2 linked regions of the Kluyveromyces lactis genome follow. Each later gene encodes a partner of the first gene's protein in a complex. Links are inferred from orthologs where the notes say so. Each region holds a gene or a part of one and is shown in the gene's direction. Other genes may lie near its edges. The genes, in order: RTT109 and VPS75.

Region 1 (3,428 bases):
GTTAGCGGGAAAAACAAGAAACATCAGCTTCAACAAAATTCCAGAAACAAGCCTTTTCGGATTTCCATCGCCTCAGCCATTTGAAGGACCAGATCCAGATAAATTAAAAGTTGATCTCGACTTCTTGGAAGGCGATTCTCTGCCCGAACGTGACGATTCTCCAACTAGAAGAAGATCCAGACCGATTCAATGAGTCTAGTCTGATCCACACTTGCGTCCCATCGTAAGGTTCTACTTGCATCAAAGCCGGTTATGTAGCTAAGTACATTCTCAGTTTGTATTTGTATTATTATCATTATTCTGTTACCCGGCTATGTTGATAATGCCAAAATATTAAGGAATAACTGAATCTTTTGGCGGGTGGCAAACCTTTGACAGAAAGATACAACATTGAAGGAATGCAACCGCCTAAAAGACGATATTCACAGGATTGAGTATCATCAGTGAGCAACTGTATCAAATCATTCCCAAATATAATCGAAAATGGATGGAATTCAAGTTGATATGAACCGCTTGAAAAAGGGCGAAGTGAGTCTAGGTACTTCAATGTATGTATCAATAAGGGAACGTTAAGATTCCTCTTTCCCACAATCGAATCAATCGGTTTTAATGATATCAGTGAATACTAACTAAACTTAATTAATGTTAACAGTATGGCCGTGACTTTCAAAGATGGTGTGATCTTAGGGGCAGATTCCAGAACAACTACTGGTGCGTATATTGCCAACCGTGTCACAGATAAACTAACAAAGGTTCATGATAAAATCTGGTGTTGTAGGTCAGGTTCAGCAGCAGACACTCAGGCTGTTGCCGATATTGTACAGTACCATCTAGAATTGTACACCTCACAATATGGAGAACCTACAACCAAGGTTGCTGCATCGATCTTCAAGACATTATGTTACGAGAACAAGGATCATCTCACAGCAGGTATTATAGTGGCGGGCTACGATGAAAAAAACAAAGGAGAGGTGTATAGTATACCTCTTGGTGGTTCTGTGCACAAGCAGTCGTACTCAATTGCTGGTTCTGGTTCTGCTTTCATATATGGTTACTGTGACAAGAACTATAAGGAAGATATGACTAAAGAAGAAACAATCGAATTTGTAAAACATTCTCTATCACAAGCCATCAAATGGGATGGTTCATCTGGTGGTGTCATTAGAATGGTTGTCCTTACTGCTGAAGGTGTGGAACGTTTAATTGTGTATCCCGATGAGTATGAAAACCTGTAGATTAGACGATAAAGCGGTCTTAACCCGTCTTCTGTAAGCAAAAGTATATTAGTTTAAAGAATAAAATTGGTATATAAGAAGAATAAATCTGAGAAACCTCGGTTTCCTTATCATCAAGACCAATCTTAAGGGGCGTTCGGTCCTGAGAGGTATTCTGCCTTCGGCTTTCCATTATTGGTAAACTTTCTCAGTAGTTAAGATTATCAGAAAGGCATTATAAAAAAGTACAACGGATCATTAATACACTCTTAGCTATGCAAAAATATAGAAATGAACTTGAATTGTTAATTGATAGAAAAGCCCAGCAGATATTATGATATAGTAGTATGTCCTTAGAATGTTACATTAAAGATGCACTTCCGTTCGGTCATGAGTTCGAAATCATTAATCTCCAGTCAATTCCACGAGAAACCTCGCCAATAACTTTTCCAAAACGCGAAGCTGAAGACGTTAATGGAAAAACGGTGAAGACCATCAAGACACAACATTTCGTCGCATTATGCTTTGAAGAGAAGGTTGTTTTTGCTCTTGAAATTGTTGTTTATTTCAGTTTGAATTCTGCCAATAATGGTCCCGTAGAAAGGCTCTTGTTCGTCTCCAAAGCAGATACAAACGGATATTGCGATCTAAGACTTGACATTGGTCAGATAACTAAGTCAATAATTGCATATATTCTGGCAATTAGTCCAGGACATTATTTGCGGGCGGTAAAACCGCTGATAAGGAAAGCACTGAGCGGTGCAAAGATTATAAAGAGAAGTACATCAGTACAGAGAGCGTTAGAAATATTATCCAACAGACCGTTGGATTCGAAGGGGATAACTTCAAGGGTTAAAATCCCAGACCAAGATTTATACGTTTCATTCCCGGTTCCGACGGAAATTGTCACAAAGGTAAGTCTTTTTACCAGGGCAGAGCCGCAGTATTTGTTTTCAAACTCATCTAAAAACCCAAGGAAACACGTCCTAAGTGGTGACAAATTGCTCAAATGGTGGTTAAAGATTGTAGACCAAATAGTTGTCGAAGATTTCGATAATAAAACAAAGGCAACCTTACAAATACCGGGAGAAGAGAAAAGAGTAATTTCCAACTATTTGAGAAACACAGCATATCAAAATTGGACCGTAGGAGACATTTTCTCTGAAAGTCCGCAAGACATTGCATTATACAGGATACCATTATTCCCTGATGACCCCAAGGGCAGATTCCTTGACCATCTGATCAGTGATGGACGAATTTCTAAAGTCAATGTGTTAACATTCTGGACAGAATTGCAAGCAAGGCAAGAGTTCAGACTGGGATCAACTGTGTCTGTCATTGGAGTGTCAGGAAAATACATCGGCCGTTGCAATGAACCAGAACGGACTGATATAATTATACCAACCTCGAAGAAGAACTTTAAAAATCTGAAGAACTACATAACTGGAGAAGAATATGACACTGAAGAAGGTGCTGAAGAAGCATACATGAACATTCGAGATATTTTTGACATGCATTACTCCACGAAGATGATAAAAGTTATTGGAAACCACCACAAGATCGCTACTACAAAACGGCCTGAAATAAACACTATTAACGTAATAAACACTCTAAGTGTCCATAGGAAACCTAAATCGTAGTGTGACGGTGCTGATATATATATACTACATAATGGATTCAGGACAATTTGCGCGTACATCACAGCGGATCTCTATATTGGAAGTCAATTTTCAGCAGAAATCAAACAGAGAATAAAAATGTAACAAATTAAATCAAATAAAAATAAAAATAAAAATAAAAATAAAAATAAAAATAAATAAATAAATAATAAAAAATACCTATTGCATTGAGAATAATTATTTGAAATTTGATCCAATGAAATGGTTAAATATTGCGTTTGAGTGTATCTTTGATTGGTTAGATATTAGATGCGATCCTGTTAACCTTAAACTAGTCTATTAGAACGGTTAATTAGGTCGGAGTATAGTACACAAGTAACTCTGAAGATGTCAAGTCTAGAAGATTTGATTCCTACGGTGAATAAGCTACAGGATGTTATGTACGATGCAGGCATTGACAGTTTGGATCTACCGGTTTTAGCTGTTATTGGATCGCAATCTTCTGGTAAGTCTTCGATCTTGGAAACGTTGGTCGGGAGAGATTTCTTACCTCGTGGTACTGGTATTGTTACCAGACGTCCTCTAGTTCTTCAGT
Region 2 (2,976 bases), on another chromosome or scaffold:
ACATGGTTCTGTAATAGATATCCACACAGGCGGTATTGATCTAGCTTTCCCTCATCACGATAATGAATTGGCACAATCCGAAGCCTGCTATGATAACCATCAGTGGATTAATTACTTCCTTCATACAGGTCATTTACATATTGAAGGGCAAAAAATGTCAAAATCATTGAAGAATTTTATTACCATTGAAGAAGCTCTAAACAAATACAGCGCTCGTCAGTTAAGACTTGCATTTGCTTCTGTGCAATGGAACAATCAATTAGATTTCAAGGATTCGTTATTAAACGAAGTGAAATCTCTTGAATCTTCATTTACTAATTTCTTCAAAAATATAAGGGCTTTGAATAATGACTACAAGCATTCCTTGGGTTTAGGAAAGATTGTTAGCAAAAAATTGTCAAATGAAGAGAAGGCTTTACTCAACGTTTTGAAATCAACTCAGGAAAAAGTTCATGCTTCCTTTTGTGATAACCTATCTACACCACAGGTATTGAAACATCTTAATGAACTTTTGACTAAATCTAACAGTTACATTGCGAACATTAGCTCTGAACTAAAAATTGAACCGCTATTGGCAATTACCAGATATATAAGTAAGATTCTCGGTGTCATCGGATTTCAATTACGTTCTGATGGCTTAGGTTGGTTGGACGATTCATCTTCTGATTCTTCCCCCGACGTTTCAAAGGAAGACATCGCTCTACCTTATGTCAGATGCCTCTCTTATTTCAGAGATGAAGTTCGTCAATTGGCAATGAATAAAGCACCTTCATCGCAGTTTTTACAAGCTACGGATAGACTTAGAGATGAAGAATTAGTCGCACTAAATGTTGCAGTAGATGACAGACAAGGTCAAGCATCTCTTGTCAAATTTTTGACTGATAAAGAGAAAGATGAAATCATGAAAATCAATGAGGAAAAACTTCAAAAAGAAGCTGAAAAACAGTCAAAAAAGCTTGAGCAATTAAGACTTCAGGAGGCTAAAAAGCAGGAGAGACTTGAGAAGGCAAAAATTTCCCCTCAAGATATGTTTAAGAATGACCTATATTCCGAATGGGATGAAGATGGAATTCCAACTAAAGATAAAGATGGTAACGAAGTTACTAAATCAATGAATAAAAAGTTAAAAAAACAATGGTTGGCTCAAAAGAAACTCCATGAAGAGTTTTTCCAGTAGTGAAGCTAAATGTGTTGCTTTTACTAATTATTTAATTTTATAGATATATCTCTTTGTGTTTATTTTTGAATTGTGCAGTTGTATTGAGTTTATGCAAATGAAGATCTTAAATTTTTTTCTTTTTGTTAACGAATTCTTAAGTATCTTACAATTAGCATATTTTATTTCTTTATTGGGATGATTGACTACTATATATTATAAGCTATAACGCCAAGCAACCAAACAACAATTATGTGCATTGCAAACTCAGTATGGTATGTACTAAGATAAATCAATTTAGATTTTGTGTTCACTGCTGTTTTAATACTAACATTTGAAATTGATCCTTTCTTTTGCTCGTGTTCAGTGGAAATGCTTTCAGAGGTTTAGCGGAGTGTGAGGACGAAATGGCACTAGCTGAAAACGAGGCCGAGTTGTATAAGATTAAACTTATGGCTCCTGTTTTTGATAAAAGAGATAAGTTAATCGAGAAGATTCCGTTCTTTTGGAATATCGCTTTAACTCAACATTCAGATTTTTCAAATTACGTTAGAGCATCAGATTTTAAGTACATTGAAGCTATAAAGAAAATAGTTGTCAAGCCATTGGCACTTGAAGATGAGGAATGCACCGCGAGGGATTTTCAAATCACTATCGAATTCAATGAGATAAAGGGAGACTTGAAGGCTCAACATGTGAGTAAGGTGTTTAAAATTGAAAAAGATGTATCTAAAATTCTGATTAAGAAAAACAGAACTGCAGAAGACGATGAATTGGACGCTGACCTAGGTTTTTTGACTAGTGAACCTGTTAACATCGATTGGCCTAAATCATATGATAATATAAATCCTGAACTGATATCAGATAAGTCGACTCCAGAGGGTAAAAAGAACTATAGAACCGGTATGAAGACCTTTTTCGCATGGTTTAAATGGACTGGATTAAAACCAGGGAAGGAATTTCCTAATGGTGATGCATTAGCCAATCTTTTTAACGAAGAACTATATCCATACTGTGTAAAGTATTACACCGAAGCTCAACGTGATGTCATGGATGAATCTGACGGTGATAGTGAAGATGATAGCGACGCTCCATTAGATCTTGATTTAGAAGAAGTTAACGATGAGGAAGGTTCCGATTCCAAACATTTAAATAAGAAGACGAAATTGCAATGAACTCGTTCAATGATAATTCCTTTCGTACACTTCATTATTAATGTACCATTCGTTTATTCATGGTTGTTGCCGTGCTAACTTCTGTAGTATTTGTTGTTGTACCTAGAGTTTTTGTAATTTGATCTACTCCCATTGCCACTGTCGTACCTTTTTGAATTTGCGCCACGTAAGGGTTTGTGTACAGGATATTCATGTGAAGTGGGCTGGATATTTTGTTTCAATGTTTTCAAATGGGCTTGTTTAGCTGCTTTGAACTTCGCCATTGGATCGTCACTACTTAAGTCAACGTTTTTATGGTTTGTTTTTGAACATATAACATCTTCAATTCCTTGGTAATGTTTTCTGATGGTTTGTTTTTGGTTTTCAGATTTCTCACTTTTATTGTTGTTCCCTGATAAGTCGAGTAATGTGTCTGTTATTTCCTTTTTACCAAGGAGGTAGTCTACATTTTCTGTCAAAGCTGTGGATGTGTTGTCATACATCCACTCTAACCCTGTTTTCCTCTTAACATTTTTCTGGTCTTCATCCCTAATCAAGCTGCTGTATCGATCAAGCTCACGTTCTTTTTCTATTTCTTTCTGTCTTTCCTTTATCTTTTTATTCTCTTCAACTAGTTGTTGTTGAGCCTCCCATACTTTTTTTCTA

The links.
Region 2: the proteins of RTT109 (region 1) and VPS75 are in contact, whole or in part, in an NMR structure (PDB 6O22), measured with the Saccharomyces cerevisiae proteins. The link is inferred for Kluyveromyces lactis from reciprocal best matches to the Saccharomyces cerevisiae genes RTT109 and VPS75. Residues at the interface, in NP_013099.1 of Saccharomyces cerevisiae: Ile25, Lys122, Lys124, Arg128, Tyr130, Leu137, Ile138, Ser139, Ala140, Pro144, Thr147, Leu148, Leu151, Arg154, Ile166, Leu175, Tyr176, Lys353, Ser354, Arg355, Lys356, Gln357, Ala360, Lys363, Tyr364, Glu368, Glu374, Glu378, Thr381, Asn382; in NP_014153.1 of Saccharomyces cerevisiae: Lys59, Ser63, Gln64, Val66, Ala69, Asn70, Ile72, Arg73, Ala74, Ser75, Phe77, Lys78, Ile80, Asp81, Lys170, Arg173, Lys177, Val213, Lys214, Tyr215, Tyr216, Ala217, Glu218, Gln220, Arg221, Asp222, Leu223, Glu224, Asp225, Glu226.

Annotation. Positions count from the first base shown.
Region 1 is NC_006042.1:1,189,646-1,193,073, reverse strand, and holds RTT109 (H3 histone acetyltransferase RTT109), read left to right. Parts: upstream 1-1,561; coding exon 1,562-2,854; downstream 2,855-3,428. Other genes in the region: SFI1 (Sfi1p), read left to right, coding at 1-193; PRE3 (proteasome core particle subunit beta 1), read left to right, coding at 484-548, 653-1,235; dynamin-related GTPase DNM1, read left to right, coding at 3,221-3,428. UniProt on the Saccharomyces cerevisiae protein: Histone chaperone-dependent acetylase that modifies 'Lys-9', 'Lys-14', 'Lys-23', 'Lys-27', and 'Lys-56' on histone H3 (H3K9Ac, H3K14Ac and H3K23Ac, H3K27Ac, and H3K56Ac) to promote nucleosome assembly, genomic stability, DNA repair and transcriptional regulation during mitotic S-phase.
Region 2 is NC_006039.1:272,917-275,892, forward strand, and holds VPS75 (Vps75p), read left to right. Parts: upstream 1-1,408; coding exon 1,409-1,431; intron 1,432-1,523; coding exon 1,524-2,331; downstream 2,332-2,976. Other genes in the region: CRS1 (cysteine--tRNA ligase), read left to right, coding at 1-1,177; U2-type spliceosomal complex subunit CWC25, read right to left, coding at 2,406-2,976. UniProt on the Saccharomyces cerevisiae protein: Histone chaperone which acts as a cofactor stimulating histone H3 acetylation by RTT109. Preferentially stimulates histone H3 'Lys-9' acetylation by RTT109. May also stimulate histone H3 'Lys-56' acetylation by RTT109. Assembles nucleosomes (in vitro).